Elephas maximus indicus: one gene and its partner. The protein of the gene in region 1 binds, or shares a complex with, the protein of each later gene. Links are inferred from orthologs where the notes say so. Each region holds a gene or a part of one and is shown in the gene's direction. Other genes may lie near its edges.

What was found.
Region 2: the proteins of GPSM2 (region 1) and FRMPD4 are in contact, whole or in part, in a crystal structure (PDB 4WND), measured with the Homo sapiens proteins. The link is inferred for Elephas maximus indicus from reciprocal best matches to the Homo sapiens genes GPSM2 and FRMPD4. Residues at the interface, in NP_001307967.1 of Homo sapiens: Leu25, Ala28, Leu29, Glu32, Asp57, Lys59, Thr60, Ser62, Ala63, Ile64, Ser66, Gln67, Asn70, Phe73, Tyr74, His85, Asp88, Ala92, Gly100, Lys103, Asn107, Asn110, Thr111, Lys113, His128, Arg143, Tyr146, Asn147, Asn150, His153; in NP_055543.2 of Homo sapiens: Gln988, Leu989, Leu990, His991, Ser992, His994, Met995, Glu996, Met997, Glu998, Pro999, Glu1000, Thr1001, Met1002, Glu1003, Thr1004, Lys1005, Ser1006, Val1007, Thr1008, Asp1009, Tyr1010, Phe1011, Ser1012.

What each region holds. Positions count from the first base shown.
Region 1 is NC_064821.1:172,697,647-172,705,537, reverse strand, and holds the start of GPSM2 (G-protein-signaling modulator 2), read left to right. Parts: upstream 1-4,880; 5' UTR 4,881-5,137; intron 5,138-7,891. UniProt on the Homo sapiens protein: Plays an important role in mitotic spindle pole organization via its interaction with NUMA1. Required for cortical dynein-dynactin complex recruitment during metaphase. Plays a role in metaphase spindle orientation.
Region 2 is NC_064846.1:167,817,095-167,824,736, reverse strand, and holds the start of FRMPD4 (FERM and PDZ domain-containing protein 4), read left to right. Parts: upstream 1-4,626; 5' UTR 4,627-5,286; coding exon 5,287-5,327; intron 5,328-7,642. UniProt on the Homo sapiens protein: Positive regulator of dendritic spine morphogenesis and density. Required for the maintenance of excitatory synaptic transmission. Binds phosphatidylinositol 4,5-bisphosphate.

The sequences.
Region 1 (7,891 bases):
TTCTACATCCCACTTTGGTGACTGGCATCTGGGGTCTTAAAAGCTAGCAAGTGGCCATCTAAGATGAATCAATTGGTCCCAACCCACTTGGGGCAAAGGAGAATGAAGAGCACCAAAGACACAAGGAAAATATGAGTCCAAGAGGCAAAAGGGCCACATAAACCAGAGACTGCATCAGCCTAAGACCAGAAGAACTAGATGGTGCCTGGCTACCACCAATGACAGCCTTGATAGGGAACACAATAAAGAGTCCCTGACAGAGCAGGAGAAAAGCGTGGAGCAGAACTCAAATTCTAGTAAAAAGACCAGACTTAATGGTCTGGCTGAGATTGGAGGAACCCCCGAAGCCATGGCTCCTGGATGCTGTGTTTACCCAGAACTAAAACCATTCCTGAAGTTCACTCTTCAAAAAAAGATTAGACTGGACTATAAAACATAAAATAATACTCATGAAGAGTGTGCTTCTTAGTCCAAGCAGATAAAAGAGACCAAATGGGCAGCTCCTGTCTGGAGGCAGGATGGGAAGGCAGGAAGGGGCAGGAGCTGGCTGGAGGGACAAGGGAAAGCTAGGGTGGGAAGGGGAGTGTGCTGTCACACTATAGGGATGGCAACTAGTGTCATATAACAATATGTGTATAAATTTTTGTATAAGAAACTAACTTGAACTGTAAACTTTCACCTAAAGCACAATTAAAAAGAAAAAAAATAACAGCCTTGGAAACTATAGGCCAGTTCTACTCTGCCTTATACGGTTGCTATGAATTGGAATTGACTCCACAGCAACTGGTTTTGTTTTGTTTTTTAGACATTGTCCAAAGCACTTTACATACATAAATTCACGTAGTCCTTATATCAGTCAGGGTCTAGGTATAATCCTCAAATATGTGAAGTGCTTGGAACAGTGCCTGGAACATGATTAGCCCCAATACATCTTCCAAAAAAAACTCAGTGCCGTTGAGTCAATTCCGACTCATAGCGACCCTATAGGACAGAGTAGAACTGCCCCATAGAGCTTCCAAGGAGCGCCTGGCAGATTCAAACTGCTGATCCTTTGGTTAGCAGCCGTAGCACTTAACCACTACGCCACCAGGGTTTCCCCAATACATCTTAGCTGTCATTATTTATTGATTCATTTCAGCTTCCAAATGAGAGATTAAAACCCAGTGCTGTTGAGTCGATTCCGACTCATAGTGACCCTATGAGCCTGTTTTAACAGGCTGTTTTCCTTGCATTTTGAGGTCTCCTTCCCAAGGGTTCTTAGGTATTACTTTGGGAAGCTCCTACCCCTCATGTTCTCCCTCTTTTATTCCAAAAGGCGGAGCTACCAAGTCCACATTCTTGCTGAGGAAACTCCACACAAAATCTTTAGACTTTTTTTTTTTTCCCTTCAAGAGAGCACTGATATTCTCTGGGAGCAATAAGTGTTATCTACTTGGTTATTCAAATTTGTCTCAACCCAAACAGGTCATTTGTATATTTGCATTATATCTTTACGGATTTATCTTTTTAATATTTTATATGAATGAGAGCATACAATACGTAACCTTTTGTGTCTGGTTTCTTTCACTTAGCGTAATGCTTTGGTGGTTCATTCACATTGTAGCATGTACCAGTACTTCATTCCTTTTTATTCTTAAATAATATTTCCTTGTATGTGTATTAAAAATATATATATATATTTTATATATCACAGTTTGTTTTTTCATTCTTCTGTTGATGGACATTTGGAGTGTTTCCACCTTTTGGCTATTGTGAATAGTGCTGCTATAAACATGAGTGTACACGTATTTGTTTGAGTACCTCTTTTCAATTCTTTTGGGTATATATCCAGTAGCAGAATTGCTGGGTCATATGAGAAACCTGTACTTAGACCAAGAAGCAGTCATTCAAACAGAGCAAGGGGATACTGCATGGTTTAAAATCTGGAAAGGTGTGTGTCAGGGTTGTATCCTTTCACCTTACTTATTCAATCTGTATGCTGAGCAATAATCCAAGAACCTGGGCTACATAAAGAAGAACAGGGCATCAGAATTGGAGGAAGACTTATTAACAACCTGCATTATGCAGATGACACAACATTGCTTGCTGAAAGTGGAGAGGACTTGAAGCACTTACTGATGAAGATAAAGACTACAGCCTTCTGTGTAGATTACACCTCAACATAAAGAAAACAAAAATCCTCACAACTGGACCAATAAGTGGAGAAAAGATTGAAGTTTTCAAGGATCTCATTTTACTTGAATCCACAATCAACACCCATGGGAACAGCAGCCAAGAAATCAAATGAGGCATTGCATTGGACAAATCTGCTTCAAAAGATCTCCTTAAAGTGTTAAAAAGCAGAGATTTAAGGACTAAGGTGCACCTGACCCAAGTCATGGTATTTTCAATCACCTCATATGCATGTGAAAGCTGGACAATGAATAAGGAAGATATAAGAAGAATTGATGCTTTTTGAATTATGGTGTTGGTGAAGAATACTGAATATACCATGGACTGCTAGAAGAACGAACAAATCTGTTCTGGAAGGACAGCCAGAACACTCATTAGAAGCAAGGATGGTGAGACTCCCTCTCACGTACTTTGGACATGTTATCAGGAGGGGTCAGTCCCTGGAGAAGGACATCATGCTTGGTGGAGTGGAGGGTCAGTGAAAAAGAGGAAGACTCTCAAGGAGATGGATTGACACAGTGGCTGCAACAATGGGCTCAAGCATAAGAACAATTGTGAGGATGATGCAGGACCAGGCAGTGTTTTGTTGTGTTGTACATAGGGGTCACTATGAGTCAGAACTGACTCGATGGCACCTAACAACAACAGCAACAACAACATGGTAATCTATGTTTAACTTTTTGAGGAACCCCCAAACGGTTTTCCATGGTGACTAAACCATTTTACATTCTCCACAGCAACGTACAAGGGATTCAGTTTCTCTACTTCCCCACCAACACTTCTGTTTTTAAATTATTATTATTGCCATTTTAGTGGGTGTGATGTGGTATGGCATTTACTTTTATGAAGAGTCTGTACTGTCATGTAGAATGTCTCAAATTCTGGATTTGTTCCAGAGCACTCTTTAAAAAAAAGAGAAACTGGATTAAGTTACTCCCATGCTTAAAACCTTCCACTGGTTTCCTGTAACACTTAGAAAAGAAAGTCCAAACTCATTTCCCTAGCTTACAAAGGCCTACACGATCTGGTGTGACTCCATCTTGTATGTTCTCCTCTCTCTCACTTCACTTCAGCCACCCCAGCCTTCTTCCAGTTTCTCAAACCCACAAGGCTTGTTCTTGCCCTACAGACTCGGGTTCAGCTTTTCTTCCCCCTCCAGTGTGCTCTTTCCTGAACTTCACTTGAAGGCTGGTTTCTTCTCGAGATTCAATTATCAGTTTGAATGCTACATCCTCAGAGAAGTTTTCCTTAGGTACTTGGAGAATGACGTAATATAATTTATGCCTTTTAGAAGGTAATTCCACTTGAGTAATTGGAAAGATAAAGATGACTATTATGAGGGATAGGGTCCTCATGTGTAAGAGAAGATTTGCTGGGGTTGGGGGGGGATGATTGATTTTGGATATAGTGAATTTGATATATTGGATTTCCTTTGTAGCTTTCATATTAATACCCAAGAAGAATTTATGAGTAAGAAGGAATTGTAATATCTGCCTCTGAAATAGTAAGACAATTAATTCAATTGCTTATGAGAGCCTGACATTAAAGGTGGTTGTTGATAACAATGACAACAGGTACCATTTACTGAACAGTTTCTATTGTGTCAGGCACTATGTTAACTAACAAGCCTTACTTTACTATCTTTATTAGAAGAGGATTTATTATCCGTGGTTTCCAGTTGAGGAAATTAAGGCTAACTTGCTCAAAGTCAGCCAGGCAGTAAGTGGCAGAGATGGAACTCAAACCCGGGTCTAGTGTGATGCCAAAGCTGATACTCTAACTGCTTTGTTGTAACACCTTCCGAAGCAGCTTCTTGGGTCACTGGTTTTGGCTATCATTCAGAGAAATCCTGGAATTAGGGTTTTCTTTAACGTACTTAAGCCTGTAGAAATATTGAAATCTCATTTCAGTGGAGAAATGTCTTTTTGAGAAATAATCTAATTTAAATTCATCAGATTCTTTAGCCCAGAGGCTGTAGTCTTGGTATTTGGGAAGGAGAACAAACTGAGACCTATTTGGGGGGATTAACACGACGTGGACGGGAAGTAACGGAACTAAAACTTACACTTCCCAGTATATTTGGAACTCAGTTGCCTGAAACCGAGTAAAATCGTCATCCAGTTTTCCTAAGAACCAGAGATTCTGTCGTCAACATAAAGTTTGGTTTTTAACAGCTGGAAGCGCCAGCATTGTGACACAACCTCAAGAACTGAGGCTGCCTTGTTCAGACTTTCACACGGGTCCCTCTGTTCCTTTCATAGAGCCCTGTTTTTCTTAAACATCCCGCATATGCCGCTGTGAATGCTCATTCTACAAGGCGGCACCGAGCCTCAAAGCAAGGAGGCACTTGTTTCGCGGTCCCATCTTTGAAAGGGGTCCAGGCGAGACCCTGTCTGAAGAACCCTACCTGGAACGTATATTTATCGCCCCACTCTTCAGCGTCTGAAGAAGAAATAAGAGGAGAGGGAAGTTACTTCAGTGTGGTGGTTGAGGACGGGCGTCAGAGCAGCTGAGGGCAAAGTCCCCCAAGCTCCCCTCAGCCTGACCCGAAGGCACCACGCCCGAGAGGGAGTAGGCAGCGAGCGAACTACTGCTCGGCCCCGCCCCCGTCCCCGGCCATTGGCCGGTCCGAAAGACGCGGGGCGGGGTCGGTTTGAATGGGAGCCCCCGGAGCTGCAGCGCAGGCGCAGAGCAGGGAGGACGCTGAGTGCGGGCGGCGCTGCGGGCTGCTCGGCGGCGGTGCGACGGCGGGAGAGGAGAGGAGAGCCCCCGGAGCTCTGGCTCACGTGACCTGCCGGGGGCGGGGACGGGGGGCGCGCGCCGGCCTCCCGCGGTGCCCCTGCCTGGCTCTCCGCCCGCGGCGCCGCGACCCGCCTGAGGGAGGGCCCGCGGACAGCCGCCTGTCGCCCGAGGCGGCCGCTCCTGCGGCTTCTCAGCGCACCCCCAACCCGCCAGCCCGCTGGAGGTGAGTTCTGCCGCGGGGCGCGGAGGAAGCTGCGGGCGCCTGGGGGCGCCTCACGAGGGCGGCGGCAGGGAGGGGTGCAAGCGTGTGCGTGTGGGGGGCGGCTTCTGTGACTGAGGGGCGACCTCCTTTGTTCAGGCCGGCCGAGCGGGGTTCGGGGTGGAGGAGGCGTGGGGACGGGGTCCTCGGCGGGGCCGGGGGCTTCCCTGACCTGTGGGCGCTGCGGGGACGCGGCGTCGAGGGCGTCGGGCTGGGGGTTCGGGATAGACCCGACTCCAGAAGCCAGAAACTCGGCTGAGAAGCCGCTCACATCACCAGGACGAACGCTCAGTTGTTTTCTTGTTATTTAAATGAGAGTAAAGCCGAAGAACTTGGTTCCCTAATATCTTTTTTAAAAATGAAAATAGAATACAGTGACAGCTCACGTAATCGAAGCGTAACAAACACATTAAAAATCCGAATCCCTGCGGAATTCATAATGAAGCACAATGCATTCATTTTTTTTGGTCCGTGCGCTTGATAGCCAAAACTTTAGTCAAATACCTGCGCTTACCGTATTTTAATTCGTGATTTTTTTTGCACCTATCTGATTTACTATAGAAATTGGTATAAAATAATATAGAAGTTGGTAGTTGCTACAAAAAGTTTTACTTTGTAACCACTCTTTCTGCATAATAGCGTGTGAAACTGCCTTGCCGAACGAGCTCGTGGTAAGGTGTGAAGAAGAGCAGGTATGAGACTGCCCCTGGTGCTTCGCATCCCACACCCCTTACACACACACTTACTCACTTCCAGATCATTCAAGCAAAGCTGCTTCTGATAGTGAGACCCCAAGCAAAAGTGGTATTTATCAGAGGTAACCGCTGTGAGTCGGAATAGACTCGATGGCAGTGGGTTTGGGTTTTTTGGTTTTTAACCGCACTGGCGATTATGAAGTCTTCGGTGCATCCTTTGAAGGGGCTGCTTGAAAATTCGACTGCTTGTTAACTTCCCACACACACCGAAAAGAACTCCTATACCTGCCTGAGGAAAGGGAAGCAGAGAACCTACTTCGTTTAACTCTACGGAAGGATTAAATTATGCATTAAGGCAAAGAAAATTTCCATCCTTCCTTATTCGTTTTCTTAAACAGAGTTTCTTTATGTTTTAATAGTAACCAGTTACGTTTTACTAGTAACTAGTTTTTTTTTTTTAGTAAGCATAGAATTTTTTTTAAAAGCCCCTTCTCCGAAAACCTCTAGGATACCTTCAAGTAGTAAGAATTGGAAAATCTCTAACTGCTTTATGTTTTAATAGTAACCAGTTAGATGATTTTAACTCTGTTAAAGAAAAGGAGAAAAGAGAAAGGAAGGATGGAAATTTTCTTTGCCTTAATGCATAATTTAACCCTTCCCTAGAGTTAAACGGAGTAGGTTCTTGGCTTTCCCTTTCATTCAGTCAGGCACCTCCTGGAGTTCTTTTTGATGAGTGGGGGAAGTTAATATAACAACCCGCTGAATTTTCAAGCAGCCTCTTCAGAAGGGTGCACCGAAGACTTCTGGCCTGATAACCGCCAGTGTGGTTACCTCTGATAGATACCACTTTTCCTTGGGTTCTCACTATCGTAAGTGGCTTTGCTTGAGTGATCTAGAGGTGAATAAGCAACCTAAGAAGAGCGTGTGTGTAAGTAAAGGGGTGTGAGATGCAGAGCACCAGGGGCAGCCTCATACCTGCTCTTCTTTACATACACCTTACCATGGGCTCCTTTTGGCAAGGCTGTTTCTCACTCTATTATTTATAAGGAGTGGTTACAAAGTAAAAAGTTGTGTGATGTTGTGGTAGAAGCATTTCCCCCAAATCTTCTTTGGCTGGATAAGCAGTTTAGTTGTGTTTTCCTTTTATTAAACCAGACATGCATTGTTACAAATATATATGTATTTTTAATAAATCTGAGACTTAGTACTAGGCTAACTATAACAATGATAGGATATAGTAGTTTCAAATGGCCTTGTTCTTAAAGCATAAAATATTTCTAAGATTTTTAATTATTTCTAAAGATATTTTTTTCTTGGAGGAGGACATATGCTTTATTTTTTTCTTTAAATTTTGTTGTAGAGAATATACACAGCAAAACAGCAATTCAACAGTTTCTACAAATACGATTTAGTGACATTGATTACATTCTTCAGTTTGTGCAACCATTGTCACCTTCCTTTTCTGAGTTGTTCCTCTCATTAACATAAACTCATTGCCCTCTAAGGTTTCTGTCTAATCTTTTGAGTTGCTGTTGTCAATTTGATCCCATATAGATAGTTTCTAAAACAGCATAATGCTCAAGGCAGACCTTTTTTACTAGTTAAGCAAAACTATTGTTTGGCTTTAAGACTTCAGGGGATATTTTTGGTTTAAGATTTAAAGATTATCTCAGGGCGGTAGTTTCAGGGGTTCATCCACCCTCCATGGCTCTAGGAAAGTCTGGAATCCATGAGAATTTGAAATTCTGTTCTGCATTTTACCCCTTTTGATCAGGATTCTTCTATGGAATCTGATTAAAATGTTCAGTAATGGTAACTGGGTGCCACCCAGTCCTTCTGGTCTTATGGTAAAGATAAAATGTTATAATGAGTTCTCTGGAATTTTAAAATTAAAAACCTGACATAGATTTAGACTCAGATTTTATTTTGTAATACTAACAACAGCTATTATCATTATGACTACTACACTTTGTTGAGTGCTTTTGTTAAGTACTAAAGCCAGGCACTGTGTTAAGTGCTTTAT
Region 2 (7,642 bases), on another chromosome or scaffold:
TTCCATCTTTTTCCTCTTTTTGATCAGGACTCGTCTATTGTATTGAGTCCTTGATCAAAACATTCAGTAATGGTAGCCAGACACCATCCAGTTCTGGTGTCCTGGCAAAGGAAGTAATACTTCATGATATGATATTTTATATTTTTATTGTCTGTCTCCGTATTAGAATGTAAGTTCTATGAAAGCAGAAATATGCCTTGTTCTCTGGTATATTTCCTTAGGACAGTGCCTGGTACAAAGGAAAAACTCCATGAATATTTATTAAATGAATGGATACTATGCTTTTATTTACTCACTTCTGTTTTCAGGGCTATAACGAGATGGTTGAGATGCTACAGTCCAAATGGAAAAGGCATAGAGTTTTCTCTATTGTAACGTGCAGCAAAAGGACCCTTAGCTGCCAACCCGTATGAAACATCTGGGCCAATAGTAGATTCCCAACATCAACTTTAGGTAAGAACTTAACGAAGAAGAAACTCCTTCTTCTTTGTCCTGAGAATTCTCCCAGAGCATAAAAAATTTTGTCCTGAGAATTCTCCCAGAGCATAAAAAATAACACTGCTTAGGGTTTCGATGATTGTGGCAAAAATATCCACATCTGAACAATCCAAGCAAATATTGTCATCTTCAAAGCAGTGATTTTAGAGGCTGCAACTTTTGGTGACAGTGCTGCCAAGACTCAAAACAGGTGTGGATGTCTTTCTGGAGCTAATATCCATGTGCCAACTCTGAACTGGTGTCCACATTCAAGCGCTCATTCGGTAAGGTAGGGATGTATTATCATTTCCATTTTAAAGGCAGGGAAACTGAGTCTCAGAGAAGTTAAGTGACTTACTCTGGATCCGTTGACTTTGAGTCTCTTATTCATGAGTAAATTCAACAGTCTTTGAAAGTGTGTTTGGTTTTCAGAAATGGCCAAATGTCTCTTGGATACAAGTAAGGCAAATTAAGTAGATTTGCAAGGAGGGTAATAGAGGTCCTGATGAGTAAAACCTCTACAAAGCATGTCGTAGTTGTTGTTAGCCGCCATTGAGTCGGACCCTGACTCATGGCAACCCCATGTACAACAGGATTGGACCACTGTGATCCACAGGGTTTTTTCATTGGCTGGTTTTCGAAAATAGATCTTCAGGCCTTTTTTCCGTGTTCATCTTAGTCTGGAAGCTCCGCTGAAACCTGTTCGGCATCACAGCAACATGGAAGCTTCTCGCCTGACAGGTGGTGGCTGTCCTTGCAGTTCATTGGCTAGAAATTGAACCTGGGTCTCATGCATGAAAGGTGAAAATTTTATCACTGAGCCACCACTTTCCTCCTACAAAATATCGAAGGGGCCTTAGAGGTTATCCAGACTAAAAAAAAAAAACTTCAGAAAATCTGCTCAAGGTGCCACTCATTGGTTTTTTGTTTTGTTTTAGGGAGATTCATTTCATGTTAGACATAGAAACATATTCCAACCTCTGCCGCACACACCTGGTACAGAGAAGGTCAGAACTGATAGAAAACTCAGACTGAACGCACTGCTGTCCAGTTGATGCCAACTCATAGCAACCCCATAGGACAAAGTAGAACTGCCTCATAGGGTTTCCAAGGCTATAAATCTTGACGGAAGTAGACTGCCACATCTTTCTCCCCTGAGCAGCTAGTGGCTTTGAACTACCGACCTTTTGGTTAGCAGCTGTGTGCTTTAACCACGGCACCACCAGGGCTCCTTAGAGCTGATGGAACAGCTACTCAAATCTCTTTCAGAGGGCTTAATGGTGTTTCAGAGCAGCAGAACTTCCAGTTTTACATCTCTGAGAAACAAAGGAGGCGGGGCAGAACGTCTTTGCTTTAGAAGAAAAGCTATTGATCACCAGAAACATACCAGAACATTAATATATCAGAAGAGTGTAAGGACTGGAGAAGCCAGTCGTTTCCCTCGCTGGCTGTAACGCTGTGGAGAGTGGGCATCTGCACTGTGAATAATTGTACTGTACAAATTGGCGGAGGGGAGAAGCCCAACAGCAAGCTATTCCAGGTCGACCAGATGTCTTGAAGGGTGTCTGTCTCCCTACAAGTCAACACTATGTCTATTTCTTGTCATTTTCACGACCAGGTGATTAGCTGTTTGGTATGGAATTATGTTTTTAAGAAGAAAGCCCTACTGTTCTGTTCTCAAAAGGAAAAACTTTTCAAAATACAGTTTCTGAAGGCATTGTTTCATCCCCCTTTCCTGATCCAAAACTGGTCTCCTAGTGCCTGTGGCCGCTCTTTTGGGAAGGGGTAGAGAGAGTGAAGGAAAAAAAGAACTGGAGAATGTGGGAGTGTCCTCATTGCCACATTAGCAATTCAAAGGACATGCAAACAGTGAAGGCTGCTGAGGAAGGAAGAGTGTGTGTGTTTGGGGGTGGGGGGCGTGGGCAAAGATAAGCCCTGAGGTCAGAGACAGAGCAGCACCGATGGGATGCCAGACCGATTGGATTTGTCTGAGAATCTGATGAACATAAAATTTGTCCATTCAACAAATATTTATTAAGGTCTTTCTACATCCAAGGAAAGAAACCCTGGTGGCACAGTGCTTAAGTGATCGGCTACTAACCAAGAGATCGGTGGTTTGAACTCGCCCAGCAGCTCCGTGGGAGAAAAACCTGGCCATCTGCTCCTGTAAAGATTACAGCCAAGAAAACCCTGTGGGGCAGTTCCACTCTGTCATATGGGGTCTCTGTGAGTCCAAACGGCACTTAACAACAACATATCCAAGGAACTGTCCTTGACATTTGAGACCCATCAGTGAAATCCATCCTTGCCCTTGTGGAGCTTTCATTCCAGTGCAGGAATCAGAGAAGAAACAATAAACATAAAAATAAATTATCTAGTGTGTTGGTGGGTGATAAGTGCTATAAAAAAAAAAAAAAGGAAACAGGAAAAAATGGAGCAGTTCATGGGGACTCAGAGGCCAGGGGATGCAGGCCTGGAAGTTTCAGATAGGCTTTTCAGAGGTGCTTTTTGGAGGCGACATTTGTGGAAAGGCCTGATGGGGTGAAGGAGCTGGCCATGCAAATATCTGAAGGAAGAGTATTCCAGGCAGAGGGAACAGCCATTGCAAAGAGCCTAACGTGGCGGGATACCTGCCCAGTTTGAAAAGCAGCAAGGAAGCCAGTGTTGCTGGAGCAGGATGGGAGGGGAGAGAAGAAGGGAGGTCAGATAGGGTCAGAGAGATCAAGGGCCAGGGTGACTAAGACCTTGTTGGTTATCGTAGGGGTGCAACTGTAGCTCTCAGGAGAATGGACAGCTTTTGCAGGGCTTGGATCCAGCAAGTAACATTATCCGACCCACGTTTAAAAAACATTTCTTTGACTAGTACATTGAAAATAGATTGTGGCATAAAAATAAAAGATTTCTCTTTTTTCAACATGTGCCTTACTTATATGACAGGGTTGCTATGAGACTCAATTGCAGAACTGTTTTAAAAATGTTCAAGCACTGTGCAGACCCAAACTATAATTATTATTTTACACAAACAATAGGGGGTTCACAAGCCAAGGTTCCCCTGGCCTCCTCTGAGCCATGAAATTATAGTTTATCTACAAGAAGCTCAAGGGACATTGATTCCATTTACTTCAAGAAAAAAAAAAAAGGTAAGCATTGTACCTGTGAGCTTTAAATCATTAGGTTTTGCAGATTGCTAGTTATTTTATGTTTAATTTTTGAAAGAATTGCTTTTTTTTTTTTTAACTTGGAAGTACCTGGCTTGAATACTGAAGACTTTCAATCCAGCCTCAGACCAGAAGAGGAGCAGAAGTCTGAGAACTTTAAACCCATTCTGTTTTCCCTGATCCCCTCCAGAGCTAGCTGCTGTGGCTAGCTCCTCCAGTATTTCGGGGGTGGCAGCGTTTCTTTGCGGTGGCCCTGCTGGCAGATGAACGCTGCTGGGTGGGAGACACATTTTGGGAGACCAGCTGACCTTCCTTCAGAGAAGCTTGGGGGAAATTCTGCAAGGATTTTGGAGAAGAGGTCCTGAGACTCCAAGAGAAAGAAGAGAGAGGGGCTTCCTGGGAGACAGAACTGAGTTACTGAAGGGGGAGGCGGGGTAGGTGTGCTAAATGGCTGCAAGTTGGAGTTTACTCTGCTTAAGGTGAGTGTTTACGTTTTCTCTGCTTTCGTTTTTTTCAGGCGAGGGTTGGTTTTGTATTTTGTTTGTTTCCTTCTTCACCCACCGCTCAATCTGAAAAAGCAGCTAGGTCTGCAGGCCAGACCCCATTCTCATCCCTTCTCTATAAGTCTGAGCCCCCCATTCAAACGAGCCCCCCCCGCCCCCTCCACCGCGGGTTGCTGGGACCCCCTGCTCGCCTGTCCCCCTCTAGCTGTTATCGCTTCTTCCCCCGCCCCCAACACACACACAAGGCTCTGGTTCTAATTGTTTTGATTTCGCCGACGCCCCCCTGGCGCTGATTCCTAAGACACTCCTTCCCAGCCGGCCGGGCTGGCACGTCTTGCCCCAGCAGGTCGAGGAAGGCAGTGAGAACTCTGCGCTTTCCAAATCGCGCCCACCGCGCTGGGTATCTCCCTCCCCTTTCCTTGGACCAGCGATCTTGCCTGCACCCTCCCGGATCGTCCGCCTGGGCTACGGGTGGTTGTGGAACCCACTGAGGCTTTGGGCAAACTGCGGTGGCCCGGCCCTCGTCGGGCTTGGGGAGGGCGGGGTGGCGTTTGCGGGCCCTCAGTGTGCCAGAGACTGTTGGAGCCGATCTTGCCGCTCGAGAGGCGCACACAGAGGGTGACAGGAGCGTGTGCCCCCTCCCCGGGCTGTGGGGGTGGGGACAGGAACGGGGACTCGGGCAGGAAGGCGGCGGGGAGGCAACTGCAGTGCTGCGAGGGGTGCGTGAGCCGCGCCAGTAGCCCGTCGCCTCCCAGTGCATCTGCGCTCCCCGGAGCGCGGGGCACGGGTCGCGGCTGGAGCAGGAGGGACCCCCGCGCCGCCTCGCCTCCCGCCGCCAGGGCGCACGGGGCGGGGCGCACGATCGGCCGCCCCCGCCCGCGCCCAGCCCCTCTCCAGTGACTTTTCCCGGCGCGGCGCCGCTCCACGGTCCTGCTCGGAATGCACACGCAGCTCCCGGCCGGAGGGGGGTAGCAGCCGCCGCCTCCAGGTGCCGGCTCAACCGGGCCGCCGCCGCCACCCGCCGTCGCCGCCACTCGAGCCCCGGGCGCGCCGAGGTCCCGGTCATGGGGCTGCCGCTGCGGCCGCTGCGGTCTTGAGGAGGGGCAACGGAAGCAGCGCTGCGCTTTCGGGAGTCCCCGGCTGCCCGCATGGATGTCTTCAGCTTTGTGAAGATTGCAAAGCTCTCGAGGTAGGATCCGCGCTGGTTCGCTTGCACCCGGGGCCGCCACGACCACGGGCAACTTGGCGCTTGATTTTGCGGGAGGTTTGGGGAACAGCAAAAGCTGGGGACAACAGTGGGGCTTCAGATCGGACTGGAACGGCGTGGCCAGGGGCTATAGCGTTCAATCTATTTCTCACTGGTTCCCCGGGCATAGACTGCACACGCAGAGACCCACGCGCGCTCACGCACACACGGATCTTCACGACAGTTTGTTTTCCCTTAGGAAAAGCCCCAGTGGTACTTGGGGTCACATGTGCAATTCAGGACCAAGAAAAGATGGTTGTAGTTGCTGCTGCTGCTGCTTCTAGGACAAGCCCAGAGTGCTTGTAGCTTGGGTACCTGCCTTCCAAGTAGCAGCAACATAAAGTGTCCCTGTCGCCCCTTACCCCCAAATTAGACGTCCACACCCGAAAAAGTCCACTTGTAGGTTGACTCAGGTTGAGTGTTCCCACCAGTGACCTAGATGATGAAGTCATGGAGATAGAAGAGAAAGACCTTAAGCCTTTCCCTGGGTAACTATATATTTCTCAGCTTTGAAAGATTTAGAAATTTGTTTCCAAGTGGCTGTGTTGTGGAAACCAAAGAAAAATCCTGGATTCAGGCAGATTTCCTGGGCAGGGCTTGACAGGAGGAGGTACATTCCCACTCTTGGACCGCCTAGCTACTATTATCTGGTCAGAGCATTCCTCCTCAGTCTTCTGCCCTGCTTAGGTTTCTAAGTTGGGCTTCCAAAGTCTCCACTGAGCCCAAGAAGGAAGGTCTGCCGCTTGCAGTGTGGCCTCAACACGAGAAGAGCCCAGTAAGAGAGGTCTCCGAAAACCCTGCCCAACTTTCTCTGCCCAAGTCCCTGGAAGGCCTGGCCTTCTGCCCCTGAGCTCTTTATAGCAGTTACCATCACCACCTTAGGAGGTAGACAGTAGGGTTTTACCAGGATGCAGCTTAAAGACCTGCTAGAAAGACAGAATAATTCTAGGTTTGTCTTCATTCTTTAGTGTTGGGTGGGCCGTGTTGATTGCATCAGGCAGGAACAGGCAGCCTCAAATACCCCGAGTCAGAAACGTATGTTGACTTTGCTTTGCCAAATTACATTTGGGCCATTTCAGAAACATTAAGCTTGGATGTTGTCAGTAGGACATGTCCCTCTCCAGCATCTACAGGTCTTTAGTTATTCTTCCTGCTCGTCTCCACCTTCCCTCTCCACTCACACTGGTCAGTCTTAATATCACCAGCTGATTCCTCTAGGGAAAGGGCCCCACGGTCACTTACCCTGGGTAGGTAGACTTGGGTAAATACATCTGCCTAGAGCCCCCAGGCTCCCACACATCAGAAGACTCATGAGTTAAGCAGTGGGTGATTGTGGTATAGCATTGTTTGGTTTCCCACCGATACCATAGACAGCCATGGCGTCACACCACTTCCTGCGTGCTTCTGCCCATGGCTGGTTTATAAACAGCTGTTAAATCACACATGGATGCGAAATAACTGCGGGTAAGTTTAGAAAGTGCATGGAGCCCTCTGTGTGATGGACAGAGAGATTGGTGAAGGGAAAAGGGACATTCAACCAATAGTATAAAGTAACCAAAATAGTTTGCAGTGCCCTCGGATACTCAAAACAGCAAGCTGAACAAAACATCTAGAGCCTAGGTTTTGTCCTTAAACTTTGGAGCTTGGGAGAGGACAGTGCTGGTGTCAGAGAAAAGAGGTTTTCGACTCAAAGTTTCCTAAATTCTAGGATGCCTTCATGGTGTTAACAGATCTGAGCATTTGCAAAACCCAAGGCGGGTTTGTGAGGGATTAGCATAAAAAAAAAACTCTAGGGAGAGAGTGTGAATTTCAATTTCTATCTTTACTGTCATGCCATAGAGAGTTGATTCTAAAGAGAAGGTGCACATGTCCTGAGCTTATGTGCCCATTAACAAATCTTCCATCCCTAGGAGTTCTTCCTTTTCTTCTGTGTGAGCTCAAAGATGGTCCCCAAGCTGAGCTAGAAACACCTCGAGAGGGCCATCAGCTTGCAGAAACACGTTTGCAGCTGCCTATTTCTGCCCTGCAAGCATTAGAGGGTTGTATGTGTGTGTGTTTGAAACAGTGTTGCAGAAATCAAGTTCTTTTCACAAAGGTGGAGCAGAAAAGTGCTTACATTGCAGGATTTTCCTGATTTCAGAATGGATAATCTTCCTAAGGGATTTAGCTTTGATCAGCGTGGTTACTTGAGTGCTTAAAATTCTCTTGCTTTAGAGGGGAATACGCAGAGTTACCTCAGGCCTGTGCCTTGCCTTTCG